Notamacropus eugenii: one gene and its partners. The protein of the gene in region 1 purifies or fractionates together with the protein of each later gene. This does not show direct contact. Links are inferred from orthologs where the notes say so. Each region holds a gene or a part of one and is shown in the gene's direction. Other genes may lie near its edges. The genes, in order: FUS, scaffold attachment factor B1-like, HNRNPC and SF3B1.

Region 1 (7,034 bases):
AATCACATAAATGCTTCCCTGTCACATGGAGATATAATCTTTCTCCCCTCTTTGCACCACCTCAGTCTCTAGGGAAGGGAAGAAGTTTAGGTTCATGGATTCCCGTAGAATACAGTTTCTGTTTCAAGTCCACAGCTCCTCTCAGACTGGAGTCCCAGGCATCCTGGTTTCTCAGAGCTTCCATGCTAGCCTGGCTGCCTGCACTACCCTACTTGTAATCCTCACTCCAAGATCTCTATGGCTGGAACTACTGGTCCAGTGGGGCTAAAGATGGAAGAGAAGAGAGTGACCAGCTCAATGTCACCAGTTTTAAAGATGTAGGTAGCCAAGGACTTCCCTAGGGAAATTGGGCCTGCTCAACATCCTTGTTACACCTGATTCAATTATAATGATAATACACAATTTCAGTACTTAAGGGTTTTACAAAGCATTTTCTTTTTTTTTTGCATTTTCTTTTTTATTTTTTCTGTTATATATATTGATATCTTTTCTAAAATTTATTTAAGTTTTCAACATTCATTTCCACAAAATTTTCAGTTCCATATTTTCTCCCCATCTCTCCCCTCCCCCACCTCATAATGCCTTGCATTCTGATTGCCCCTTCCACCAATGTGCCCTCCCTTCTAACACCCCTCCCTTCCCTTATCCCCATCTTCTCTCTTGTCCTGTAGAGCAAGATAAATTTCTATACCGCTTTACCTGTATTTCTTATTTCCCAGTTGCATGCAAAAACAATACACAACATTTGTTCCTAAAACTTTGAGTTCCAACTTCTCTCCCTTCTTCCCTCCCCACCCATCCCCACTGAGAAGGCAATCAATTCAATATAGGCTATATATGTCTAGTTTTGCAAATGACTTCCATAATAGTCATGTTGTGTAAGACTGACTATATTTCCCTCCATTTCTGCCCCTGCCCCCCATTTCTTCTATTCTCTCTTTTGATCTTGTCCCTTCCCAAGAGTGTTTACTTCTAATTGCTCCCTCCTCCCATTTGCCCTCCCTTCCATCATCCCCCTCACCCTGCTTATCCCCTTCTCTCCTACTTTCCTGTAGTATAGGATACAAAGCATTTTCTTTACAAAATGTTATGAGTTAGGCAGTATATTAGCTCCATTGTATAGCTGAGGGAAACAGACATAAAGTCTGATTTGTCCATGGTCCAAGATGGGCCTTGAACTTGAACTGACTCTAAGAGTGCTCTTTATTACAATAGTATGCTGTCTGTCGTCCTTATATAACCTTTAGAGCTCTAGTCTTTGATCAGGTACTTTTGTTGACATATAATTATATGTGTAACATAGATAAACCTGGAATCTATGCTTGTTTTATCTTCCCATTAGATTTTCAAGTTCCTCCAAGGCAAGAATAGTATCCATCTGATCTAATCAGGCTCCACTGATTTTCTTTCTTTTAAAATATTTTTGGTGCTCTTTTTCCCTATTATGACTTTTCCTGCTCCAAAAGAAAACCTTCTTACAACTAAGTATAATCAAGTAGATCACTACATTGGTTTTCTCTAAAGGGTATGCCTCATTCTATACCTATAATCCACTGCCTCTCTCTTTTCTTTGCTGCCTCTTCCACATTTTGGTCAGCAGCCTTCTTACCCTGAAAATACCTCTGTCCCTCTGGTCCTTCATCTGACTGGTGAGGTCTTTCACATGGAGCTAAGTTCTGCTGAGGGACTCTCTGGTCCCTCATACCCCTGGAATGGCAACCTTCTCACTGAGAAGATGCTTCTTCCTCTGGAGCTCCTCTTCTATTCACGATTCCCTTCTCAAGACTAGGAATTCTCCAGACCATCCACAGTTACATCAATTCTATCTTGGCTTAGTGCCTGACCCGCCTGACTTTTCCACCTTAGCCTCACGTAGGGATGTATCCTGTTGGTGCCCCCTTCCCCTATTTCCAACCCCCTTTTTTATGTTATCTTCCCCCTTTAGAATGTAAGCACATTTAGGGTAGGGGCTGCCATTTTGGGGCTTCTATTTTTATTTCCAATGCTTAGTGTAAGTGTTTAACTTTATCTATCTTCTATCTATCTATTCCTTATTAGCCTTCTGAAGTCAAGATTGTTTTATTGATGAGAGAATTCTGAAGTCTTTAAGTGTAATTTATTTATTTTGGTTATTACAGAATTCTTACTTTGTTCTGAATATGTTTTCACATTCTTAAATTTCTTTGAATTCTTCATATTCATCATTTTCAATGGTAAAATAATTTCATTATGTTTAAAAACCACACTTTTTTCAGCCACTTCCAAAACTGACAGGCACGAAATTTGTTTCTGACAAGTACTCCAATAAAACACTCTGTCATATAAATAGGTGGGACCTTTCCCTCTGGTTTTGATCTCGTTGGGGGTATATTTCAGTAGAAGTATTACTGTGTCAAAGGGTATACAGTTAATGATTTTGGGGGTATAATCCCGCATCGTTTGCCAAGTTCATGGGCCAGTTCATGGGCACATCTGCCTTTTCATAGCCCCTTCACCATTCACTATTTTTCTTTTTTCTCGTCTTTGTCAATCTGACAGCTACAATAAAATCAAGGCTATCTTGGACTGGTGAAGGCTGGCCTCCCTGCGGACTTTCCTTTCCTGCCTCCACTTGCAGGTCACCCTCTCTGTGCGTGTTGTGCACTCGAGTGGACACAGTGAAGGAGCAGGTTAGCAAGCACACGATCCTAGAATCCACCCTTGGGTCTTGTGATGTCCGAGCTGAGGAATCCTCAGAGATCATCTGGGCCAGGGTCTGCCTGCAACTAAGAGAGCTAAGAAATCTCGTTTTTTCAAATAAATTCTTTCTCCTTCTCCTTCCCAAACCCCTTGTAACAAAGAATAAAAGAAAACAAGGCTCAGCCCTCTCCCACAAGGGAGGACACATGGGCTCAGGGGGGGCACAGTTCCGCTTCCTCAGGGTACATCTCAAACCAGGCTCAGGTAAGGCTCATCTTTAGGATCTTCCCCACATGTAGATAACGAGCTTTCCTCTAAGAAACATGATCCACGTACAGAGATTATTAAAAGACTATTTCTTTCACCACAGGAAGTGCTTAAGACACGAAAGAACGAACAGGCCCCTGTGGATAGATACAACATCTCAGCCAGCTCAGCCTACCCAAGAAAACGTGCCCTGGAGTCCCAGCGGTTACAGAGCGGGGAACCGTCTGTGCAGGGTCGTCACAGAGGCTGGGAGCGGCGTGGGGGAGGGGAGGGCCTTCGGAACGTGCTCTCCGGCCTGGTCCGCACGAACCTCTTCTCCAGTCTGAATAACGGACACGGCAATAAACCTAAGCCCGTCTGCAGCGTCTGCCAGAGGCCGAGGCGTAAACGCTCACACCGAAAAAGGAACCGCTGGGGCTGGCTCCAGTACACTGCTGCCCGGCAGGGGGCTCCCGGGGGAGGGGGGGGAAGGGGAGCATTACGGCGGGAACTGAGGGGTTACCAGGCTGGATTACGGGGGGAACTGTGTGTGTATGGGGGCCGGAGGCGGGCCAGGCCCCCCGGCCTCCATTGTAACCACAGTGCAGCAGCTCCTCGCCTCCCGCTCCCGGAGGAGGCGACGGGTGGAGGGGAGAGGAGGGGGGGGAGGACTGGCCAACTCCTCCGCTCCAGCCACCGGGCTCCGGAACAGAGCCTGACTTCCTCCCCCTCAATCACCACCAATGGTTCGTTCTCGTACGGCCGTCACCCCTCCCCCTTCACCTCCCCTTCCTTTCTTTTCCTGCCTTTGCTTCAAAGCGTACCATTTTTCTATCCGTAGGGGGAGGCTACAGGTTTTCTGATTAGAATGAAACAATATTACCTCTATGCCCAGCGTAGACAAAATGGGCAAATAAAAAGTTTCCTATAGTCTATATTTTTCATCTCTTTGTGTAGATCACCTCTCAAAATTCCCTAAGTTTGCGTTCGTCCCGTTACATTTCTGCCCGCCCCCATGTCCTAGACTTGGTACAGCCCTCTGCGGTGCGTAGGAGGAGGGGGAGGAGTACATAAGTTTCAGCGCAGGGGGTGGGGTTTTTCAGTCCTCGAGGCGTCGGCGGTCGGCTGCCTTCTATTTTCTGTTGCTCGGCAGCCGGTGTGCGCGTGCGCGGACATGGCCTCCAACGGTAAGAGCTCGTGGGGGAGGTGAGCCGATCCCTGATCGCCTCGCGCGACGGTTGGGTTAGCATTCGGAGCGGCCTGGAGCCCTTTTTGGGGGCCTGGAGTCGGGAGGGAAGGTAGTATGGTTGGATGGGTTGTGGCCGTGTCTGGGAGGAAGGGTCTCATTCTCGCGCGGTCTAGGCGGGAAGTAAGCGGAGGGCGGTAGGCGGGGAGAAGGGAGGCCGCTGTCGCCATCTTGTCCCGTGGTTCTGGCGCGTTAGTGTAGAAGAGCTGACTGGTAGAAGGGCTTTTTTGTGGTATCCTCTTTTTTTGAGAACGAAGCCCCCGGCGGCCTAGGTAGTAGGAGCATAAAGCAGCCGAGGGGAATAACGTTCAGCGCCTTCTCCCGCTGCGAGCTTTTCTCTGCCCGCTTTGTCGCAGTGCCGCATCCGGGCGACTTTGGTGCGCACGCGCGTGGGATCCACGCCCTGCCCGGGAGCGGAGGCCTGATCGGGGTGCGCGCGTCCCTCCCCCCAGGTTCTCAGCATCCCAGATTCTTCCTGGCTCCTCTGTAGACATCCCCCACTCAGCGTTCGCTCTCGCCCCCTTTTCCTGATTCTCTCCCACCTTACGGCCGAGGTTTTGCTCCCAAGGATGGACAGCCTGGCAGTCGGCCGGGAGAGGAGGTTTACCAGGACCCCTTCCCTCCTAGCCCGTTCACTAACGGCCCCGGGAGATCACTTTTGGTGCGTTGGGATTCAGGCCAACCTTCTTATGGAACTCCTTTGTTGAGCTTCTCTCCTTTAGCACTATGAAGGAAGGGTTGGGATTAGCTCTGTCTCCTTGAATGTAATTTCTCTTTATGAGTGGAAAGGGCCGTTTTTTGTTCTGAAAGAATCGGAATTCATGTTCTCTGCCCCAGCCGTCCTTGGGTAAGCAGGGTGATAATTCTGCTTCTGATGGGCATGACCCTTTAGCTTCCCTGGTTGTTGTAATTTGAGCCTTCCTGCAGCCCCGTGAAAAGTAGGGCAGGTAGTCATGACTACGAAGAGATTCAAGCAAGTAAGATTACTTAACCTCTGCCAAAGTCTGAGAAAGGGGCAGAACCCGGACAAAAAAACAAAACAAACGCCACGTTTCTTAATAAGAATGGAGGAAGACATCTGTCTACTTTGGTTATTTGGCTTTCATACTATTCTCCAAAAGAGCCTCAATCCCTTGAACTTAAAAAGGGGTGAGATTTCATGGAAGATGTTTATCTGAGGAGTTCAATACAATGAGACTTCTGGAATACCTCTCTGCTCCATTTCCTGCGAGTCCTTTTTGGGGAGGGAGGACGCCTAAAAAACTGCTTAGCCTTTCTCTGTCTTGGTCTTTATGGTCATATTTCTAACTGTTTGAGTTTTAGTCAGGAAACGTTGGGAATTCATTTTACGAAAATTTTCGTTGACCTTTTTTTGTTGTTTTCACATCCTTTTTATTTCCAAATTATCCTGATCTCATATCTCTACCCCAAACTATTTCTTATAAAAAAGAATAAAAATGGTACCAAAGGCAAGCTGGCAAAACCAATCAAACTCCCTTCCTCCTTGTCTCTCCCCTCCCCATCCCCTTTCAAATAGTAATTATCCTACCATGGATATTCATATCCACATAAACCTACAAAGGAAATTTCGATATATACTCATCTATTTTGGGAGGTATAGCTTGGTATTGTTTCCTGATCCGTTAGCCTTATTTTTAATCAGTTCACATGAATCCTCATGCTTCTCAGAATTCCTCATAGTCTTCATTTTTAGTCCATTTTTCTATGTTTTCACATATACATGAGAGAATGACTTTGGGATGTTTCAATGAATGTGACTTTGTAGACATTGGTGTCTATGGTGTTTTTCTTTAACTTCTTTGGGCTGTGTTTATCATTATCCTTCACGCTGATTTTTTTTTCTTTCTCCAGTCTTTTAGAATGAAAGAAAAATTTTTTTCCAGAAAATCCTCACTTCTATGAACTAGAATATTTAGCTTTATCCTTTTTGTGACACTGCTCCCTCTTTTTAAATTATGCTTTTTTGAGATTAAGCTTTTTGAAGCACATAGGTTTCTGTGTAGGGTTGGTGTATGTACATAAGAGTAATATAATTAAACTTTTTTTTTCCCCTTACAGATTACACTCAACAGGCCACACAAAGGTGAGTATGACATCAAAGGGAATACACTGGTGGCAAGATGTCCCTGTCCCAACTTTCATTTTTTTGATAATTATGTTCTTTTTATAGCTATGGAGCTTACCCTACCCAGCCTGGACAAGGCTATTCCCAACAAAGCAGTCAGCCCTATGGCCAACAGAGCTACAGTGGTTATGGCCAATCAGCTGATACCTCAGGCTATGGTCAGAGCAGCTATGGCTCCTCCTATGGACAAACCCAGAACAGTAAGTATTTGTCATCTTATTCTGGCTACCTTTTTAAAAACTACATTTGGAATCAGGATTTTAGATTTCAAAGGAATTCAGTTTAACAAACATACATTGAGACTTCTGAAATCTCCAAATCCTTTTGTTGCATATCTTCATTTTTTAAAATAAAATCTTTGTCTCATCCCTCCTTAAACCCCAGAATTTAATATGCTAGGACTTCCTTTTACTTTTAAAATGTATTATCCTATTATCCTTTTTTCACACCTCTCTCCCATTAAAAAATGCAAGTGAAAACAGATTTTTATTAGGTGCCCATCTACCCAAGTGGGTAGAGATTAATTTCTTTTAATTTAGATTTGATACTGCTTGAGAGTAAGTGGTTCCACTTTCAAGGAGCTTTTAACTTAGACAGCACTAACTCAGTACTTAAATGTGACACAAAGTGTAACTGACATTTTGAATAAGAGATGCTGCTAGTTGGTAAGATTGCAGAAAATAGGTTGAAATAAGAAGGAACTTAAAGGAATGTTAA
Region 2 (7,864 bases), on another chromosome or scaffold:
ATCCAAAAATGAAAAGTCCCAGGAATGTCACAGATAAAATTATGAATCCCCACATCAAATTTAAAAAAACAAAACAAAACAAAACACTGCAAGCGTCCTGAAAGAAGCAATTCAAGTACCAAGAAACCAGTCAGGATCACACAAGACCTGGTAGCCTCTACCATAAATGAGAGGAGATCTTGGAAAATTCCAAAAGGCTTACAAAGACTTACAAACAAAAATAACTTACCCTGCAAAGCTGAATATAATCTATAAGGGGGAAAAATGAACTACAGGGGTTTCAAGCCTTTCTGATAGAAAGACCAGAGGTAAGAAATTACTTTGAAATACAAACACAAGAAAAATGCCAATACTACCTAAATTAATTTACTTATTCAACACCAAACCAAACTATCAAAGCATCATTTTGTAAAACTAAAAAAAAAAAAAAACTCCAAAATTTATGTGGAGGATCAATAGGTTTAAGAATCTCAAGGCAATTTTTTAAAAAGTGAAAAGGAAGCCCAGAAGTACCAGATTCTGAAATTTATAAAAAAATCGTTAATCATCAAAACAATTTTACACTCATTTAAAAATAGAGAGGCTGACCAGTGAAACACATATGGCAGACAACATGCCAAAGTAAACTACCTTAATAGCCTTGTGTTGGATAAATCCAAAGACCCTCCCCAGGTACTGGGATAAGGTCTAGTTGACACAAAAGTTCTAAGAAATCTGGATAAGAGTCTAACAAAAATTAGGTTTAGACCAACATCTTAAATCATATATCAAGATAAGCTCCAAATGAATATACAAGTTAGCTATAAAAGGTGACATTACAAACGAATTAGAACAAGGAAAAAAATTACCTTTCAGATCTATGACAAAGGATAGACAATCACGTAAGATAAAATGGACAATTTTGTTTGATTACATAAAACTACACTTTTGCACAAACAAATCCAATGCAACTGAGATTAGAAAGGAAACAGTTAACTGTGGGGGAAAAACCATTGCAACAAATTTTCTCTGATAAAGACCTCATTTATAAAATATATAAGGAATGATTCAAATCTATAATAGCTATCTGCCCACTGATAATAGCCAAAGGATATTAATATGCTATTCTCAAGTTATCTATAGCCATGAGAAAATGCTACATATCATTAATAATTAGAGAAATGCAAATTAAAGAAACTCTGAGGCCCCAGTTCTCACCCATCAGATTAGTAAAGTAGACAAAAAAGTTAACTGACACGTGGGAGGGAAAACAGGAATACCAAAAATACACTATTGATGGAGCAGTGAACTGGTCTAGCTATTCATGAAAGCAATCTGAAATTATGCCAAAAAGTTATTAAATTGCGAATATCCCATCTGACTCAGTTATACCACTATTGGGTCAATACCCCAAAGAGACCAAACAAAGAGAAAAAGGACTCATGTACAAAAATATTTACAGCAGCTTTTTATGTTGTAGGAAAGAACTAATGCAGAGTGAAGTGATACAAATCAGAAGGATAACTTATAAAATAACTGTAACACTGTAAAGACAACAACTTTGAAAGACTTGAGAACTCTATCAATGGGTACCCACAATTCTAGAAGACTCATGATGAAAACATGCTGCCCACCTCCTAACAAAGTGGCGAACAATTTCAGGGTGCAGAAGGAGATCTATATTTCATGGACTCAGCCAATGAAACAATTTTCCCTAACTATTCATATTTGTTCGAAGGGTTGTTTTTCTTTATTTTGCAGTGGAAGGGGGGAGATGGGTAAAGAAAAAAAAATAATGCTTGATAACTGAAATATAAGCTTTGGGAAATACTTATTTTGTTTGGAGAGTTTTAAAAGGGGAAAGAAAAGGTGTAAGAAATATAACAATGGAGAGAGATGGGGGTGAGACATGAGAAGAGTATAAAAACTTGGAGAAAGGAGTGGAGGGAGCAGGTATCTGATGAAGCTCACTCATATGACATGGATAAAGTAGGGCTGAATGTACACACACCATTTGGTGTAGAAATACATCAAACTCAACAGAGAAACAAGCAAAGATGGGGGTAGGGATAGAGGGTTAAGAGGGAAGATAATACCAAGAGGAGAACACCCACAGGGAAACAGACTTTTTGACAGTGAAGTATAGGGGGAAGGAAGGTGGATTAAAAGTATGGGAAAAAAGAACTACAATCTAAGAAGATACCCATCAATGACAGAACAAATTACAGTGTATGAATGTAATGGAACAATATTTCATCATAGGAAATGACAAAAAAGATAAACGCAGAAAATCTTAGGGGTAGTATAAAAAATGTAAAGTGAACAGAACCAGAACAATTCATACAAGGACAACAATACCATAAAAAACAAACAAACAAAAAAAAAACAACTTTGGTCATTGTATTGACTAGAGTTCTTGTCTTTCAATCAGTTTTCCAGTGTACATATACATGAAGAAGTGTTACCTACCTAATGACTCCTGAGGTAAGTGATTCAAAGTACAGGAGGAGGCATAGCTACCATGGTGATCATTTGCTTGACTATTCTTATTTGTAACAAGGATTTTTTCCCCCCTCAGTTTTTAATTGAGGAAAAAGGAGTTGAGCAGATAGGTTGTTAAAAATAATGTCCAAAAACACCCCACAAAACAATGTGGCGACTGAAACAATGTTTAAAATGCACAGGAAGGAACAGAAAAATGCTTAGAAGGAAGCACAAAAAGAACAGTTTTGAAAATAACCAAGTATTTCAGTTTTTTTAAAGCAGCATGGAGATTGTTTCATATACAATTCTCTTATGTTCTTCAAAGCATATAGAAATATTCCCTTTTTAATACTTAAGTTCAGAATAAAAATAAGAAATATAGATCAAAAGAAGAAAAAACAGTACCACCTCAGCTAAAAATGTTACCAAGGAAAGCGATAATAGTAGGATATATTTATATGATACATCTCTGACAGGAAAACTTAAAATTTGTACACAATGTAACAGAAGTGCTCATATCAAAATAATCACAATATGCTAGCCTCCTCAGGTCCATCAGTCCTAAAATGGATCAAAATTTGGGAAGGAAAAGGAACATGAACAGTATTTTTTGATGATCAAAAGTATTTGTTAAGTGTTCTCATAGATATGTTATTTTCATAGGACCCGTTCATTCATATCGACATGCCGACTAAAATGTCTTTCTTCCTACAAAGACTGACCTCTGAGCTTCCTCATTTGAAAATTAGGCAATACAAATTCCACTTTCCCCAACTATCTCAAAGATATGGTTGAGATCAAATGAGATAATACAGGTCAAAGTACTTAATTTTTTATTTAAAAGCCACATGAAGATGAAAACTGTTATGACCATTATCAAGAGTATAATTATTAAAGCAAAGTGGGAGTAAGTACACTGGTTCTGCGATAAGCCCGTGGGCATCTGAAAGCACCTGCTTGGCTCTCTGCCTAGTTCACCTAAGTGCTCACCTAAGCTCACTGTTTAAAAACGTAAAAACCAAAACTACGTTAACCTAACGAAAACAGAAAAGGTGTTCTCTGCCTTCTCCAGTCCACCAAAACCTCTGCCCCGAGCTCGTGCACATACCTTTGATATACCTCTTTGGGATTTTCTTGCTGGCAGCCTCTGATGCAATCTCAATGTCATCAGGATCGCCCCCTTCGTCCTCAATAGCCTATTAAGATATCAGTTTCAGGGGAGCTTGTTAGGTGCATGACGTCATGTGCTTTACTGGTCATAAACTTTCGCTGCAATAAACGCTCAGTTCCCTCACTCTCGTTAGGCTACTCCGGCCGGGCAACAAGCCCAGAAGTCAGGCTCGAGTGAACTTCACTATCACATGGCGACATGGCTCGTACGGCTGGAAGCGCAGCCTTAGGCTTCTGAAGGGGCCCGGACCCAAGCCCAGGCCGGCCATTTCTACGCGCTGCGAGGATTTACCCATTTTGGGAAAGTTTCGCAGACACCAACAGGTTGCTGGAACTTTGTACCGGGGGAGAGGAGGGTGCGGAGCGGGGCCAAAGGTCACAGGGTCGCGGCTCGGGGCAGAATAACCAGAGGACGGCCCGCGGCCGGAGCCAGGACGGGAAGGACTTCCTCTCTCGGCCTCTGCCCCCCGCCGGACACCCCCTTCCCAGGAGCTCGGGGCCGCTCCAGCGCGCCCGTTCCCAAGGTTTTTTCCGGCGGGGTGGGGTGAGCAAGTGGACCAGGGCTGGAGCGGAGGGGAGCGGGCCGCGGAGCAAGGGGTGCCCCGAGCCGAGCCACAGGCGCGCACCTCCCCTTAGCCCAGACTCAAATACGCGTGCGCGGCGACAAGCTAACGCGCTGGTCTCCCTCGCTCCTCCACCCGCCCCCTCCACACCGAGTGCCGGGGCCCCGGATGTGCCCCGGTCCCTCACCTTCTTGAGTCGGTCCATCAGGACGCTCTTGTTGCCGCCGGTATCCAGGTTCCGCTTCCTCAGCTCGGCCCGGAGGTCGATCACTCGCAGATCACTTAGCCGCCGGGTCCCGGTCTCCGAAGAGGCGGAGCCGAGACCCGCCGGGCCAGATCCCGAATCGCCCGCCCCTGACAGAGCCTCTGCCATCCTGGGTGCCCTGTCTTCGCTGCCCACCTCACACACAGCAGTGGCTGCGGCAGTTCCGAACACAAAATGGCGCCGTTTGCGAGAAAAACGCACTAGCCTGCCTCCTTTCCGGTTACGCATGCGCGCCAACCGACTTGGCTTTTTTCCACCACCCCCTCCTCGGAGGGAGTTTGCCCATGCGTGCTGTAGGATCCCACGCAGTCACCCCCGTGATCCACAGTCGTATCCAGGGCTCCTCCCACTCTAACTGGTGCTGCGCATGTGCTCTATTAGTTGAGGGCGGGAGTTTGCTTGGGTTTTGAGCGCCTGCGCATCTAGACAGTGAAGCTCCTTACTTCCCTCCTTCCTGGTGACGGAGGGATTTGGCGCATGCGCCTGGAGGAGGGGGCAGCCTCCCGAAAAAAAAGACCACCTTCTCGGCGCGCGCGCAGTGACGCCACGGGTGGGGGAGGCTGGTGCCGCTCCCTCGCAGGCGGCGCCATTTTGTGTTCCTAGCTGTGGCAGTCGCCCGAATCGTGCGAGTTGGGCAGCGGAGGTAGGACCCTTCGGGATGGCGGAGATTTTGTCAGGCGCAGGCGATTCCAGTTCTGTCACTGCAGGGCTCAGCTCCGCCTCCTCAGAGACCGGGACCCGGCGGTTAAGCGATCTGCGGGTGATTGACCTCCGGGCCGAGCTGAAGAAGCGGAACCTGGATAGCGGCGGCAACAAGAGCGTCTTGATGGACCGACTCAAGAAGGTGGAGCCTTCTGGGGCCTAGTCGTGTGTGAGGGTCGGGAGAACGGATGGGGGAGGGGGGCTGGGGGAGGGGGGGTTGAGAGAGTGGCCGGGTCGCCATAGCCGCGGGCCTCGCCGCGCAGGCGCGCGGGGGGCTGGGCGGGCCCTCGAGCTCCCCCGCCGTCGCGCCCTCCTGGCTGTCCCCGCCCCCGGCCGCAGAGCTCCGCGCGCCCCGCCCCGCACGTCCCGAGGCTGGGCTCCCTGGGTGGATTTCTGGGGGCCGGTGGAACTTGGATGTGGGGGGGATGGGAGGGAGGAGGAGTCACGTCTCGATATCGACTTCCTTGGGTTCCCCAGGAAGGAGAGACGACCTGCGGCTTGTTGGGGTTTTTATCACCGATCTGGGGCGGGATGGCTTGGAGGCAGCTCTAGGGTGCCCAGCTTGGGTTAGTCAGGTTATTATTAAGCCGAGTGCTGTGGGAAGATGGGGGGCGGGGAGAAACGACGAAGTCGGGCTCCTGGAGGAGGGGGGGCTTGAAGAAGGCAGGGGTCATCCCAGGACTTGGGGACAGGGTGAGCAGAGATCCTTGATGGAGGAGAACGTTGGAGGCGATCTAGACGGCCAGGGCCTGCTCGGATTTGGTCTTGGCCTTCCTCCATCCTAGCAATGCATATACTTGGTAGATGACACTTAATAAAATGTTTGTTGAACTGAATCTCATTTTACAGGTGAGGAAATTGAGACCCAGAGAGGTAAAGTAGCTTCCTAAGGTCACACAGCTAGTAAGTAGACCTACAGTATCAACTCTAGTCTTACCTTAGTGCCAAATTGTATACTGCGCTGCCTTGCCTCCAGAGGCTTGAGAGCCCGGATTTTTGTGTACTGTGGACAAAGTGATCCAGTATGGCTGGAGCAGAGAGCTCATAGGAAGGAGTAACTCCGTGAGAGGAAGGAGTGGAGCCAGACACCTTTTATGGTTTCAAGAGCTTTTTTCATACATTGTCTCCTGTCTGTCTTTCAGCCATTCAATGAAAAATCATTTCTGAACCCTTACCATTCCATTGATTAATATAAGCATTAAATGCCACCTAGGTGCCAGATACTGATAGGCACGGGGAATTCAAAAACAAAATAGTCTTTGCGTTCTAGAAGCTTAAATTCTATTGGTGACAGTGAGATACAACATGTACGGAGATAATAGATGACACAAAGTGTTCTGTGCACTGAATAGCCAGTAGGGCTCGCTGGACTTTGAGATTGAGATAATTTCCTCATCTCTGTTTAAGTGGTTTAATAAAAGGGAGACACTGACTTTGCCTTCTATATGTAACAGTTTATGGTGAGAGACAAGTAGTGGGGTGGAACCATCCCAGGAAGGTGAGACAATGTTGTCCTCATTTGAAAAATAAAGAAGCAGAAACTGAAGTCATCCAGTTTACTCTAGGATGAAGGAGGCATCTAAGGTGGGAGATGAAGTAGATAGATAAAAGTTATGTGACAGCTCATTTCAGAAGTTCAAGAAATATTATGCTCTTTACACAAATTAGACCATATCTTACAAACAAAACATCTAGTTAATTTTTTGTGACTTCTTTTTCCTCTTCAAGGTCTTTTATGTAACCTTATTTCACATGAAAAAAATGGGTACAATGCTCCAGCTTTTAAGGTGGGGATGAATTTCCCCACATCTTGTCTCAGGTGCTATCCAGTCAGTCCACCATTCAATTCTTCTTTATGTTGATTTATGTTTTGTTTTTTAAAGTTGGGCCTATTCGGCTGATCCACTTGCTTGCTTCTCAGGAGGAGATATGGATGCTTCAGACTGTTTTCAGTGTAAACCTAGCACTGAGAAAAGTTGATGTTTTCAGTTCATTTCAGTTTGTACTTAAGCATGAGCTAGGCACTGGAGACGCAAAGTCAAATAATGATAGCTTGACACTCATTTAGCACTTTAAAATTTGTAAAGTGCCTTAAATACATCCTCTCCTTTGAGCCTCAAGGAGGTAAATACTGTTGGCATTATTATTCACATTTTACTGATTAAAAAACTTTATCTGGGAGAAATTAAGTCATGTTGGTAAATGTCAGAGATGAGATTTAAACCTCGATGACTCCTGGCTCTTGATTTCAACACTTCTCACTGTGGTATACTTCATCTTCAAAACAAGTCTTTGCCCTCAAGGTTATGCAGTCAACTTTCACTTAGTTTCTAGATTATGATGCACTTAACCCTTTTCCCAAATTCAGTACTACAGGCAGTAAGCTAGTTTTTCCTTCTGTTTAAGTTTTGAATGACTTGAAACTAGCCAATTACAAATTACTATGGTTCCATGATAAATAATATAGTTATCTGCAATTTTACCCATAAAAGAAAAGAAAATAATGAAATGGGATTTCACTGTCATTAAAATTTAGGTGACAAAATCAGATCTCTGCCATAGATTGAACATTTCCCTTATTTTCTACATCACACAATATGAGAGTTGGAAGAGGCCACATCTTTCCCAAGCCCTAAATGAAAGAATTATGTATTATAATATATCTTACAACATGGTTTACCTGGCTCTGGTAGAAGACTTC
Region 3 (6,974 bases), on another chromosome or scaffold:
TTTCAATAATTATATCATGAAATGGCAGTGGTATGTAGTTTTGTCATTGTGTGGTATTTAGATATTCAAGCTCTATAGCTTATTAGCATGGACTCCCTCAAAGCTGTAACTAGGGTAGGAAGCTGGGGCTGTGTTCCTGGTGATCAATATTTAAAACAAGGGCTCTAAGCATAGGTTCTATGAATCTATTTTTAAAATTTCAATAACTGCGTTCACAACATAACTAATATAGTTTCTACTAGGTGATCGTAAGATGGGTTCCTCCTCACATTGGGCAAGAGAGGGTGGTCCACAGGTACAAAAATAAACTGGAGGACTTTCTATATCAAGCCAAAGCATCCCACCCATGCGGTTTGGTCACAGTAACTGAACAAAACAGGGTGCAGATACCCTCATTCTTATGCAAGCGAATTTTAAAACTAGTAAGTAAGTAGTGACCAGGGAATTTATAGGTTTTAAAGTTTGAGGCCTACTATACAGAAAAGAAAAATCTATCTTATCTACTTATCCTTATATTGTAAAATATGCATTAATATGTTATTCTTATACTAATATTAGTTGGGTAAACTGACTATATGTTTATTAGTAGATAAGTATATCCTTAATAATTGCTTATAATCATTGTCCCTGTAGAATCACCCTGATCAATACTGATTGAAATACAATTGAAATAAAATTGAAAAAAAATCCAATAAATCTTTCCACTCAGAACCCCTGATTTAGAGGGCACAAAAATATTAAAAAGACAAACTTAAAAGATTATACAATTTAAAATTTTCTTCCATGTTGATAGCCTTGTACACTTTTACCAGCGTAGAAATGACTGAACTTCTACTTGGTAAGACTAGTTAAAATAAGCTACCGTATCATTAACGTGAACCTTGTAATGAGTTATAATTTCCCGTCACAAATGAATTTTTCGTCTCATTATTTTTACATTAATTGCCAAATTGATGTAAGTAAACTTTTCTTGCTGCTTGTCCTGAGTGCCAGAATAGCTAGCTCTAGATTCCCTCTATATCTCTGATGTAAAAATGCTACTTCTTCAAAGCCCAGCTCAGGTGTTACCTTCTCTTCTGAGGTTTCCCTCATTACAATGGCTGGAAGTCATCCTTCCCTCTCTCTTACACACTTAATCATATTCTAATGTATATTATAGCTATCTGTGTACATATCTTATTCCAACTACTATGGTAGATTATTCAGTCACTGAGAACAGGATTTTGTGTTGTCATTCTTGAATTCCTAACACCTAGCATAGTACCATACAATTAATAGGCAGCAAAGTACAATGAAAAAATCAATGAACTTGGAGCTGTAGGACTTGAGTTCGAATGTTGACCCCGACATTTATTTCCCATGTGACCTCATCAAGTTACTTAATCTCTCTGGTCTCAATTTCCTTATATGTTAAATGAGGAGATTGAACTAGATGATCTTTTAAGATTCCTTCCAGGTCTAAGTCCACGGTTTTATGAACATTTAACAAATGTTTGTTGAACTGAAGGCAGGACTCTTCTCTTTTACGGTATTTCCTTTAGGATTCCTTATAGTATCTAGAACACAATCAATAATCAATTCTATCAAATAATTGCTAAAGAATTTTCTATAATCCTATGAAAACATTTTTCTTTCATTTTCTATAAAGGTGGCAGTTTTCTTTATAAAAACCTTTGTTACAACCTTGATATTCAATATCAACATAACTGATTAAACACACTGGGTAACAGTTCATATTTACTTTAATTTTAACCTATAAAATGTCCTAACCCTTTAATCGGATGCTCTATATTCAATCAGGATTCTTTGTCCATTTAGTCTCTTTTTTTTTCTCTTACACAGTTGTAGCAAGTGGTATTTTCATTCTTCTGGCTTTGTCTATTTACTTGATGTTATTTCATAAACTTTTCCATATATTTTTTATTCTTCATAGCTAGCTAAATGATGCAGCGGATAGATGCAGCTGGAGTCAGGAAGACTCTTGAGTTCAAATCAGACCTCACATATTATGAGCTACGTGACCCTGGGCAAGTCACTTAGCCTTTGTCTGCCTCAGTTTACCCCTCTGTAAAATGGGAAATAGCACCTACTCCTGGGGTTGTTGTAAGGATCTGTAAAGCGCTTTGTACAGTACCCGGTAAGCGCTACATACATGTTAGCTGCTTTTCTTATTAATCAGAAGAAATGCCATCTGCCAACTCCCCATGCTTCAGATGACTTCCTTCCTTCCTCCTGGTGCCTCCTGGTTTCCCTGGCTTCCTTCAAGTCCCAGCTAAAATGCTACTTTCTGCAAGAACTCTTTCCTGATCCTCCTTCACTCTAGTGCTCTCCCAGTGTTGATGATTTCCAACTTCTTTGGCTTGTATCCTGTGAGTACACAGTTGTTCCCATGAGCACCAGCCGTCTTCTGCCTTCTTTTGTATCCCCACTGCTCAGAACAGAGCGCAGAGCGGCTCTCAGCAAACATCCACTGGCTGTGACATCAGTGTGAAGGTGGCAGTTTCCATGAAGGACTTCCACACATCCAGGTATCTGTGCTTTGATCAGCGGGAGTGCCCCCATTCATCCTCCACACCTCAGCAGCCAGGTGATCCCGTGCTGGTCTTGGAGAGGGGCAGAAGACTCCACCTGGAGACAACTGATGGTCCTTGGACGAACCCAGGTGAATACAAAGCAGTCTTGGGGCCCTTCAGGGCCAAGCGCTGAGCGAGGCTTCACGGAAAACAGAAAACACGTTATTCGGCCCCCCACATTTGTCCTGGGGTGTGCGCGTTTTTTTCTTAACAAGATTCTTCTAGCACTTCTGGTGCCCCGTGGTACGCACCTGACGTCAGGGAGAGGATGACGTCAGGGAGAGGATGACGTCAGGGAGAGGATGACGTCAGGAGAGGATGATGTCAGGGAGAGGATGACGGCAGGGAGAGGATGACGGCAGGGAGAGGATGACGTCAGGGAGAGGATGACGGCAGGAGAGGATGACGGCAGGGAGAGGATGACATCACTCGCCCTTGACTTGGATCTGGGTGGGGGAGGGCTGTGCAGTCACCAGCCTCGCTTCTCCTCCCGAGCCATCTGGATGACTGGAGATGGCCCAGGATGCACCGGGAGACCCTGGCCCATTCAGGCTAAGGTCTAGAAGGCCCGACCTTTGCCCTGAGGGCATTGATAATTTGAGTGCTGCCCCCAATCACATGCAGAACCTCTGGGTATCTCAGCACAGTAACTTTGGAGAAGGGTGGGCCGTAGTCGGGGTGCTGGCACCTCGCCCCTGCGGGTGGGGTGGTCCAAGAAGGCACGTCAGAGGGAGGTACGGCCGGGGCAAAGGCCTCGGATCCTCGTCTGGGATTCCTCGTGGAGACCAGGGGCATGCGGGGGAGGGCCCTGAGCGGACGCACTGGCAATGTTATTACTTCGGCAGCTGTGAAATGGCAGGTTAAAGGCAGAGTGGGGAGCTGCGGGGGGCGCTCGTGGCGGTGGTGACAGGAGAAGGCCTTCCCCAGCCAGGCCTTCTTCGTACACACGCGGCCCTCTGGTTCTTCCCGCCACCTCGGGTTGGGCATCGGTGGGGAGGCGTGCGCACGTGGTGCAACGCGAGGCGCGGGGGAGGGGGAATGAAAGGGAAAAGCTCGGGCCCTGCTTCTCGTGGGCGTCTGTTAGCGCCGCGGGAATTCGGAGAACGGGGCGGGCCTTCGAACTCGCGCGCTGAGGGGGAAGGGGTCAGGAGGAGCTTCCGCGACCTCCAATCAGAGCTCGCTTGTAAAACTGGTGGTACCCGGATGTGAAGTCCTGCGCGGATACAAAGGCGAGTCTCTCTGTTGCCTCTTCGTTTCCTCCGTTGACCAATGAGCACCTTCTTGAGTTCAAATGACAACATCTACAGCCAATGAAAGGCCAGTTTCTCCCTCTGGTGCGGACTCACTGCCATTCTGACTAACCTACCCATGATTCCTATTGGACAGAGCTGTGACTGGCAGTCGAACGGTCTAATCGGGAGTAGGGACGGAGAGCAGCATTAGCCAATAGAAAGGCCTCTAGGAGTGGGGCGGAGGTCTCGGTTTTCGCGGTGTCGGTGGACGAGACGCGGGGGCCATTTTGTGAGGAGACGGAGACGGGGACGGAGAAGTAATAGTAGCGGTGGAAGAGGCTTGCGGGAGCGGGAGTCCGTTTCTTTGCCGCTGTCGGATCGGGGAGGCGGAGATTCAGAATCCACCCCTTTCTCCCTCTCCCCACCGGGTGAGTGGTGACAGTCAAGCCGGGGGAGACCCTGAGACCCTTGGGGGAAGGCAGGGCGGGGGAAGGGAACGTGGGGGAGAGGCGCAGAGCGCGTCCCTCCATGATAATAGCGCGGCCCAGACGGACTTCCTGGCGCGGCTTGAGTCTGAGGGTTGGGGGGAAAGGCTTCGAATGGGCCTCGACTCCATGGTGGGTGGACATAGTTCCGCAGGCCCCGCGAGCATGTGCCGCTGTGTAACGGCGCCCGCCTCCGTCTCCCCTCCCCCTGGGGTAACGGCCCACGGCCCCGGCGGAGCCCGCGAGATGTGGGCGGGGGGGGGTGAGCTCGTGGTGACGCCGATCCTTACTCAATGCTCTGGTCCCTAATTAAAGATCGGGAAGGGGGCGGGTTTCCCTGGAGATGCTCAGCGCCATCCGGGCCCCTTCCGTTCTGGGGGGGGCGGCGAGCGGCCGTCGCGAGTGTGCGTGGAGAACGATCCCAACCCGTCTGGCCGGTGGTGTGCCGTCCATGCACCCAGTCCCCGTGGCGGCTGCAGAATACTAACGTTCACTCTTTTTTCTCTCCTCCACGACAGAAAAGGTGGCTTTGGCAGTGTTGGCCCTAAATTGCGTTTGTGGGGAGCATAATTAACCCTAACGTAGCTGACTGACCGCTTTCTATCTGCAGGTTACAGTCATAGTTAGTGAAGCTTGGCTGGGAGGTAGGTATGGCCCTGCAGGCTCGCGGTGTGGATGGCCCAGAGGAGAAGTTAGACGGGTCAGGGATGAGGGTTTGTGAGAGTGCCGGCCCTCCGAGCGCTTGCCCGAGTCTCCTTCAGAGACCGCCGCCAGGCAGCCGGACACGTCCAAAGTGTACAGGAGATGGTCCAGACCTCAGATGACCGACATGACGGTTCTTGGGTTAGCTTACTGTTTGAAAATGGTAGCTGAAAATGGACAATTCTAATTTTTAATTAGGGTAAAATACAGTAGAGGAAATGGGGCCAGAAAATCCTTCACGGGAAGTCATACTGTTAGTTTTTAGGCACAGGGTAGCACATCTCTGCTGAATGCCCTCTAGTACTTACGTAGCGCCTCAGCGCTTGTAAAGTGATTCACATGTGTTATAATTGAGGGCAGGTAGGCGCTGTTAGTCCCGTTTTACAGGTAGGAAGCAGGTGAAGTGACGATCACGTAGTGGATGTCGGAGACAGAATTTGAACTCCCATTATCCTGATTTCAGGACCCGCAGTGCCCGCTGTGCCTTCCAGCTGCGTGTTATGGACGCTAATAAAAGGATCCTTTGTTCTACCAGATTAGCACAGAAAATAGTGGAGGAGGGCAAGGATTCCCAAACATTTGTGATTACATGGACTACACTGTTACAATAGGAAGTCTTTTATCAAAACATCCTCCGCAGGAACCTGATAATCTGGGTGTACTTGTTAAGAATGGTTAGTAAGAGAGGAAAATTTGAAGTGACCTGTAGTTCTGACTATGTGAATACTGGAGGGTCATTTTTGTATCCTTACAGCATCCTGAGTGCATATAATGAAGAGAATTCAGGTTAAACATTGCTGTGAGCGTGAGCGACTGGCCACAGACCTAGATCTAGATGCACTTTACAGTAGGGTGGGTAGAGGCAGCATTTCAATGTTGTGATAGCAGGCTAAGGGAAGAAATGAGCAAAGAAAGGTGCTGTGCGTACGTTGCTGGCATATTGTGCTCAACCTTTTCGCATCCTTTACATTTCTTTGCCACCTTAAAAGATCTTAAGAGTTCAAAGAGGCCAGCCTCCCACATTTCCAGATAAGGCAGTGGAAAAACATTTAGTATTTACATTATTTTACTCCTTCTAGTGATTGTTGACCTCCGTCATAGGTAAAAAAAGATTTAAGAACATAATCCTTGATTATAGTTCTTCTGTGTAGCCGTTATAATCAAAGCTTATAACAGAAGTTTGCATGACATGTGACCAGATTTTAGATCTAGTATCACATTGGAAGAATAAAAGAAAGTTTTAGGTCTTGATTTACTAAAAGAGTTACATGTACATTTTTCCTTGTGAAGTATTTTACTGTGAAGGAAAGGTTAGGAATTAACATATTCCGTGGGGAGGCAGTGTTGTACAAATAAAGAGCGCGGGATTGAGAGGCAGATGAGAAGAAAGTTGTAGTTACAGCTCAGCCACTAACTAGCTGTACGAGTTTGGTCATGTTATGATGAGCCTCCATTTATCTGAAATGAAGTTGGAATTAGTCTTTTACAGGTACAGTCTGTCTTTGAAAGGTCTTTATTATTTGAACAAAGGATTTAAAAAAGAGTGGATAAAGGTTCATATAATTGGTTTTCACAATTATAGCTACAACCAGTGGTAGATGAAGTTGCACCCATATCTTTGATAAAAATAAAGGGAGATTCATTTTCTCAGCTGTTCTCCAAGGGCAAGGTTGGTTTTTAGAAGCTTTTTGTTTGGGGTTTTTTAAATGAAATTGCCTAAAAAAACAAGTTGTAATTGAACAAGTGCCTTAAAAAATTCTCTTGAATAACTAGGCTATTTCAGTTAAATTTTTTAGGGATTTGTTTTTGAGATACAGTGTTGTTTGGTTATGCCTTTGTATTGTCATATTCTTATTTTATGTTGGAAATGTTGGGTGATAAGTTCTTTTGCCCAAGGTATAGAAATGGCTTTGGGGCAAGGTGGAACTCTATTGAAAGAAAACAAAACAACCAAAACCCCCTATTTGTGCTACTCTGGTGAA
Region 4 (7,670 bases), on another chromosome or scaffold:
TCCAATTATGTCTATATTTCTGTGGTGTTTTATAACTGCATACATATCATTCCCATGTGTTTCTTTCTTATGTGTTGCACAGTTATTTTGAAAGGAATTTCCTTTTCTATCTTTTCCTGATGGATTTTATTGGTAGTATAAAGGCTGATAATTTTTGTGGCTTTATTTTATAACCTTTTGCTTTAATGAAACTATTGTTTCAGTTATCTTTAGCTGAATAATTAGGGCTCTTTATTAAACTGTATCATCTCTCTTTGCTTATGTTTATTTCTTTAATTTCTTTATGTTGTCTTATTGCTATAGCTAAAATTTATAGAACTAGGTCAAATTATAGTGGTGATAATGCAGTAGATATTCTTGCTTTATCCTAATCTTATTGGAAAGGCTTCTAGTATTTCTCTATTATAGATAATGCTTACTTTTGGTTTTAGAAAGATACTTTTTACTTCAATAAAGAATAGTCCATTTATTCTTTTGCTTTTGGATACTTTTAACAAAAAAGATCGTATTTTCTTAAAACGTTTTTTTCTGTGTCTATAATATCATGTATTCAAAAACATTTTTGTTACTAATATAGTGTATTATGTTTATAGTTTTCCTGATTTTGAACCAATCTTGCATTCTTGGTATAACTTCAACCTAGCCATAATGCATAGTACTTTTAATAGGTTACAGCCTCTTGGCTAACATTTTACTGAATATTTTTGCATCAATATTCATTAGATATTTTGGTTTATACATTTATTTCTCTGTTTTAATCTCTTCCTACTTTTGACAGCAAGATCCTATTAACAGAAGGGATTGTTGGGATGCCATCTTGTCTGATTTCTGCAAACAATTTATAGAATATAGTTGTTTGAATGTTTGATAGAATTCACTTACAATACTATATAATCCTAGTATTTTTTCCTTTAGAAGTTCCTTTGTGACTTTTCAAATTTCTCCCCCCTCATTAGATTATTTAAATTTGCATTTCTTACATGGCTAATCTGTGTATTTTATATTTTTGTATAGAGTTGTCCAATTTATTAGTTATCTGTTAGCATATAATTTAGCAATATGGTTTCTGATAATTTTTTCCTCTTCATTCACTATAAAGTCTTTTTTTTCCCCATTTTTTTTTTATCATGGCAAAAAAGTTTTCTTCTCCCTTTTAAAGTTGCCAACAGTTTATCTGTTTTATTAGCTTTTTGGAAGAACCAATTCTAAAATACTTTTGTGATAGTAAACACCTGGAAATAAAATGAGCGCCCATCATTTGGGGAATGGCTGAATATATGTCTACTAATGTAATGGAATATCCCTGCATTGTAAAAAGTTGTAAAAGGGATGGATTCAGAGAAACCCGAAAAAACATATGCTGATGCAGAGTGAAGTAAGCAGAAAAGTAAAACATACATAATATGTGTGTATATGTATATATATGTGTGTGTGCATATATACATATATATTCTTTTGCTGTGCTTGTTAGTTACAAAGTTGTTTTTTTTTAAGAGAGAAGGGGAATTGAGAGAGTTTAAATAGAGAGAAGCCAAAGAAAGAAGTCAATGTAATATTTAAAAAAGAAAAAAGAAACAGGAGGTTCAGAAGGAGATGCAGATAAGTATAGCTTTGGAATTAACATAGAGGAAATGGAAGCTATATTTAATAGAGATGGGAGGTTTTGTGGACAATCCTTCTGTTATTCCTTGTATAAGGAAATATTCATATTTGTTGACGCTTCTCAAATTCAGATTAAGAAGATTTAAAAGATGTTATCACATTTAAAAGATTTTTTTAAAAAAGAAAAACCAATTCTTTATTATATTTCCTATTATTTAAATTTTTAGATTCAATCAGTGAGAACTAGTTGCATGGCCAGAATCTAGGAGTAGTTGTTAATGGTCTGGTACCATTTTAAACCATGAGAGCTTTCTTTTCTCACTAACCCTTAAATCTAGTGCTTCCCTTCTGTTGATTATTTCCAATTTATCTTGTATATAGTTTATTTGTATGTAGTTGTTTGCATGTTCTCTCCCCCAATGACTGAGATCCTTAACTGTCTTTTGCCTTTCTTTGTATCTCCACATAGGGTTGTATGGAACATTAACACTTCAGGTGTGAGGGCTTGCTGAGCTTTCATCAGGGCTGCTCCATCCACCTTGGTGTCCACTTGGTTCTCAATTTTCACCCATGACTTCAAGAAACTGTAGCACAAGCATTGGCCACACCCTTATAAACTATCTCAGCAGACGGACTAAACCAGATTGAGGGTAACTGTAGGGCCATAAACTCATTGGTGAGTTAGGTGGGTAGTTAGGTAGGGTGTAACAGCAAGGACCCTGACATACACAGGAGGGCCTGCTGTACAGGTTCTTAGTTCTGCTTTTTTAAAAGGAAAGCAACTTTTGAGGGGTCAACAATCACTTTAATCAAGCACATATTATCATTTACTTAGGTCAAGGGGAAAAGTCAGCACCCTGAACTTCAGAGAAAATACAAACAGAGAAACAAAGATCAACCAACAGACAGGGCTTCCTCAGATCTGACCATAAACAATATATACATCACAGATCCAACTGTCTGAACATACATACACAAACATAGTCACCAGAGGGAGAAGCACCAACATCTAGGTTTTCAAAGCTCTTGTCTGGCCAAATAAACACTTCTAATGAGTAAGTCCCAAAGTTAAACCTCACCTCAGTATTTATACACTTTTCAGACCTGGAGGACAGGACCCTCTGACCCAGTGCCTCAACAGAAATTAACAAAAGGTACTTGAGGCCTATTAATGGGCAGGGAAGATCTAAGTAACATTACAGGTTGTCTACCCCAAGCATGCGAAGACTTCCCCCAGTAGAAGGGTTGGATGAGAACAATTTGTTCGAAAGGCCATGAAGACAGCTAAAGCAAGTTATGGAGCACTCTGAGCTTGGTCAGACATTGACAACACTGATGTCATTCACTGTATCCAGATAAAAGTCAGTTGCCTTGACTTTTATCTTGCCAATGGACTTTGATGACTCTGGTAAAAAGAGTGAGGCTGAAGACTTTGTGCAACTCTGCCTTGCTTAAATCCAATTCAGGCGCAAGTCAAGACATCCCCCATGATGTCACTGGTCCTCTTCAAAAATTAAGGACAAACTACAATCTCCACAGTTAATAAATGTTAACTGTTATAATAATAATAAATGGTTAATAAATGTTGATTGACTGACTAATCTATGTGGGTTCTTACAAAAGGGGCATTTTATTCTACTTACATATCTTCAGCATCATTTCTGGTTCAGTAAGGTGTTTTTACTCAACTACCGGTTCCTACTGAACTTGAAGAGTAGTTGTTAACGATTCAATGTCAACGTGACAAGAGATCTCTAGAGCCAAGGACCCAGGGATCAGTGTTTGGCTTAGTGCTATTTAACATTTTATCAATGATTCAGATAAAGCCATTGATGAAATGTAATTCAATTTTTAGATAATATAGAGCTAGGAAGAGTTAACACCATACTGGAAAACAGTTAGGATCCAGAAAGATCTTGACAAGCTAGACCATTGTGTGTAATTTAATAATGTAAAATTTGATAGGGATAAATGTAAAGTCTTTTACTTGAGCACAAAAAAAGGCAACTTTGCAAGTACAAGGTAGGGGAATCAGCAGTTTTTTGGGGGGAAATATCTGAGAACTGTAGTGAACCACAACCTCAGTATGAAACAGCAGCCAAAATATTGCTGCCAAAAGAGGCAGTGTGCCTGGACTTCGTTAATGGAGGTATAGCGTCCAAGAATAAGGAAATTAAAGTTTGTTCCCCTCATATCTGTCTAGAGTAGTTCTGGCACTATGGGATAATTTTTTTGCATTTCTTGATCATCTTTTTGTTAGGATTTTACTTTAAAACTTTTTATATCGGTATCACTAATGATAATGGCTTATAGTTTGGTTTTTTTTTTTTTTGCTTTATCTCCCGAGTTTAGGCATAAAAGGAGTTTGATACAGTGTTTTCTTTCTGAATTTTCAAATTGTAGCGGAAAGGCTGAGTGTAAGACACAGAGAACTTCCTAACCTCATCTTGAGGTTGCAGATCAGAAACTCTTTCATATAATACTCCGAATGGGTGGCTTGGGGCATCTGAAGGTTAGACTGATTTAATCAAGTAGGATTATAGATTTAGAACTCGGATGGATCTTCAGGTTTATCGAGTTCAGACTTCTCGACCAACAAAAAACAGAAACGGAGGCTTTAAGCGGCTCAGCGCCTAGTCCCGAGCAGTGTCAGGGGCAGGATCTGCACTCAGACTTCTAAAGCCGAGACCGGCAGTCTTTGCCCCACCGAAGACGGGGTACCCCGGGTTAAGCACCGCAGGGAGTCCAGCTCAGGACAGGCAAGCTCCTTTCCTACAGGCTCTCGGGAGGGAGCAGATACCCGGGATGGAGAGAGAATTATGCAGAATGGCTTCGTTAGGACCTTACCCAGGCTGCTCCTCATTACGTAACGCCACAAGGCCGACCTTTCTTCCGCATAAAAGCCTTTCTAATCACAAGGATGTTACATGGCAGCCGACTTCAATCACTTCTGAAACCAACCTAGGACCGACCTCCGGGCTCCCTGCCCCTCCCACACCCACAATGCACCGGGCCGCTCCCCTCTTAGTGGTTCTCCTGTCACGTGACACATTTGCGCGCACTCCTCTTTTGGCGCCTGCGCCGAAGCACCGCCTCCCCTCCCCCGCTATTTTTCTCGGTGGCGGCGGCCACGAGCGGAAGTTCTGGGACGTACCAGTTCCGTCTGTGTGTTCGAGTGGACAAAATGGCGAAGATCGCCAAAACTCACGAAGGTAAGGAATGTTTCCCTGTCCTTGCTCGATCGCCTTTTCTCTTCTCTCAGGTTTCCGCGGTTCCATCTTCCCCTCGTCTCCTTGTTTCTCTCTTCTTTGGGGTCGAGGAGCCCAGCCGGCTCCTGCGGGGTTCGGGGTCGATTGGGCGGCGGCGCAGGCCGCGGTACAATGTAATGGCGTCCCACCCTCCCGCCCCCTCCCCCGACAGCGCTTTGTTTTGTGCTTCGGGCCGACGCTTCCCCTTGGCTTTCCTCGTGGGCCCGATGGGCTTCTTGGGAGCCCAGAGGATAAAGCCGCGGAGAAAGCGGTCGCGAAATCTCCTCAGTGGAGTGCGGGGCGAAGGCCCGTGCGCTGCTCTTCCTAACCCCCGGCCTGGTGGTGTTATGCTCGGACGAGACAGGGAGGGACTCCGCGGGGAGACTCCTCCGAGGCCCGTTACTCCTTGGCCCTGTGGAGCCACATGCCGGGCCCTCGGCGCCTTTGACTCATGTGCTTTTTAATACTAATCCGGTTTAATATTTAGATTTCTCTGGGTGAAGCGATTTGGAAACGTTCTTATTCCCTAACCTCCCCTCCTCCCCCGCTCCGTTATTCTTTTTAAATTAGGAAAGATGCTGTTTGACGTGAGGGAAGGGGAGAAGGGAGGTGGTTTCATTAATATAAAAAGCTTAGATATTTTTATTTTAAAATTGTTTTAACGTGGGGAGGATTGTGTTAGCAAATGAGTAGTATTTTAATTTACTAACCATGTCCCCACTCCGTTATTTTCTGACCAGGGAAGTGGATTTCTTTGTATACCCAGTACTTAATACAGTGGCTGGCACGTAGTAAGCGCTTAGCCTTGACTTGAACGTGGAACCCCATTTTGGGTTATCCAATTTTAGTAGTCACAAGAGACTTCCAAAGAATGTTAAGCCTGAGAATCCGAAATTAAAACTTGTAGCTAGACACTTTTTAAAAATCTTATGTAGTTCTATCTCCCATACTGTTTAAAAACCTTAACTGGTGGCGTTTTTCTTGTTTGTGAAAACTATTGTTGCTCCACTTGAATATTGGTACACAGAGGTCGGGTTAGGAAGCTGTTTCAGGCACTTCATCATAATCGCTTGTCAGAAGAAAGAATAAACGAACACAAATTTTCATTAAATTTGTAGATGACACAAAGTTGGAATGGGTGGCTAACTCACTGGGTAATAAGAAGATCCAAAAAAAATCTTTACTATTTTAGAAAACTTAGAGATAGAGCCTCGATTCTTATTTGTGTTGGATGGTTTGGTCTTGTCGCTGTTGTTTATGGTTTGCTTTTTAAAAGTGTTCTTTATTAAGATGTTTAAGGTGGCCATGGACAGAAACAGAAATTAAATTCAGAGCAGTCAGTTTTGCTTAGTTTTCAGAGCTCCTTTAAATGATTTGGTGGGTAGGATGGTGAAACCATTAATGTGAAGTAGTTTTTTTGAGTGTATTTTCATGATCTACTTAAGCAACTTGGCTGCCCCCCTACTGCTAGGGTCATCAAAAACGGCCTTTTGGTTTTTGTGATATTAGTGTTCAGAGATTATATTGTCTAATAAGTTCCTGAAGTGCACATGTATAATAAAAAAGACTAACATATTAAAAATTTGTCAGTTCAGCTTATTTTTTACTTAAAATTACTAGCTTTACCCGAAGTTTGTACCTTGTGTGTCTCCCTAATCACATTCCTCCCCCACCGACATAACCTTTATTGGTCGTTGGTATCACTTTCCATCATTATGCCACATTAACTCTGGTTCTTCAGTTTATTCAGTTCCATGATCTATCCCTCCAGTCTACTTAACCTCATGCAGAGATGGTCCTATCCTTTGCCTTTACCCACAACCATGTTCATGAACTCTGAAATTCCTTTGTGTAATAAAAACATTTTACTATTCCATTTTTCCTATGTCTTATGACCCGTATTCTTACTGTACCAGCACTGACTATACTTAAGTCCCTTTCCTAGCTTAACTCCTTGGAGGAACTAATTTAGCTTTATGCCATTCCAAACTTTGTTTCCCTACTACCGATCTCTTCACCTTGCCAAACCCAGCCTTGGATTATTCCCATCATCTGAGTGCATCACTTTTATTGATGTTTATTAATGCTACCTGATCACAACTGGCTCCTCATGGCAGCAGGGTAATCCTTTTTTACCTCCCTAATCATTCCAAACCTTTTCATCCCTCTTCAATCCTCCCATCACACCCCATCCCCATTCTCTTACCCTTTGACCTTACCTCTTTATCAAAGTAATTGAAGCCATTTTCTGAGAGCTCCCTTTTGTGTCCTCCTTATATCACTCAGATGTTTCTCTCCACTCTCTGCTTTAGGAGTTCTTTACCTTGGTTTCATAGATAGATTTCAGAGAGCCCACAAACTGTATGGGGGGAAAAATTATTTTCCCCTTATGTTTAGTTGCCTTTCTTTTTATCCCCAGCACTTAGGACAGTACTTGGCCAAAATATGCTCTCATAAATGGCTGTTGATTTTTCTTAACTGATCAGTGATAAATTTTAAAAAACATTCTGAGAATGGGTCCATAGGGTTCTCTCTCCAGACTGCCAAAGGGCTACATGACACAAAAAGGGTTAAGAGCTCCTGATGTCCTGTCTTCCCAGAAGATTGCCTCTATATTGTCATCTCCACTGTTTAATATTCAGTCTCTCTCTTCTCCACTTTCTCTTTTCCTGTTGCCTTCAAAGAGGACCATGTCCCTCCCATCCTTAAAAATCTTCACTTGGTCTTACTATCCATCCCCTCTCACTGTTACTCTGTCATTCTCCTCTTCATGGATAAATTCCATAAGGCCATCTATTCTTGGTGCTTCTTTCTCTTCTC

The links.
Region 2: the proteins of FUS (region 1) and scaffold attachment factor B1-like purify together in Homo sapiens (affinity purification with mass spectrometry; 3 studies listed by BioGRID and IntAct, with this or other methods). This does not show direct contact. The link is inferred for Notamacropus eugenii from reciprocal best matches to the Homo sapiens genes FUS and SAFB.
Region 3: the proteins of FUS (region 1) and HNRNPC purify together in Homo sapiens (affinity purification with mass spectrometry; 3 studies listed by BioGRID and IntAct, with this or other methods). This does not show direct contact. The link is inferred for Notamacropus eugenii from reciprocal best matches to the Homo sapiens genes FUS and HNRNPC.
Region 4: the proteins of FUS (region 1) and SF3B1 purify together in Homo sapiens (affinity purification with mass spectrometry; 3 studies listed by BioGRID and IntAct, with this or other methods). This does not show direct contact. The link is inferred for Notamacropus eugenii from reciprocal best matches to the Homo sapiens genes FUS and SF3B1.

The regions. Positions count from the first base shown.
Region 1 is NC_092874.1:377,559,241-377,566,274, reverse strand, and holds the start of FUS (RNA-binding protein FUS), read left to right. Parts: upstream 1-4,020; 5' UTR 4,021-4,099; coding exon 4,100-4,112; intron 4,113-6,250; coding exon 6,251-6,275; intron 6,276-6,362; coding exon 6,363-6,517; intron 6,518-7,034. UniProt on the Homo sapiens protein: DNA/RNA-binding protein that plays a role in various cellular processes such as transcription regulation, RNA splicing, RNA transport, DNA repair and damage response. Binds to ssRNA containing the consensus sequence 5'-AGGUAA-3'.
Region 2 is NC_092875.1:73,567,775-73,575,638, forward strand, and holds the start of scaffold attachment factor B1-like, read left to right. Parts: upstream 1-4,858; 5' UTR 4,859-5,119; coding exon 5,120-5,305; intron 5,306-7,864. Other genes in the region: SAFB2 (scaffold attachment factor B2), read right to left, coding at 3,572-3,659, 4,384-4,689. UniProt on the Homo sapiens protein: Binds to scaffold/matrix attachment region (S/MAR) DNA and forms a molecular assembly point to allow the formation of a 'transcriptosomal' complex (consisting of SR proteins and RNA polymerase II) coupling transcription and RNA processing.
Region 3 is NC_092878.1:12,640,048-12,647,021, forward strand, and holds the start of HNRNPC (heterogeneous nuclear ribonucleoproteins C1/C2), read left to right. Parts: upstream 1-3,972; 5' UTR 3,973-4,233; intron 4,234-6,974. UniProt on the Homo sapiens protein: Binds pre-mRNA and nucleates the assembly of 40S hnRNP particles. Interacts with poly-U tracts in the 3'-UTR or 5'-UTR of mRNA and modulates the stability and the level of translation of bound mRNA molecules. Single HNRNPC tetramers bind 230-240 nucleotides.
Region 4 is NC_092876.1:267,769,038-267,776,707, reverse strand, and holds the start of SF3B1 (splicing factor 3B subunit 1), read left to right. Parts: upstream 1-4,668; 5' UTR 4,669-4,786; coding exon 4,787-4,814; intron 4,815-7,670. UniProt on the Homo sapiens protein: Component of the 17S U2 SnRNP complex of the spliceosome, a large ribonucleoprotein complex that removes introns from transcribed pre-mRNAs.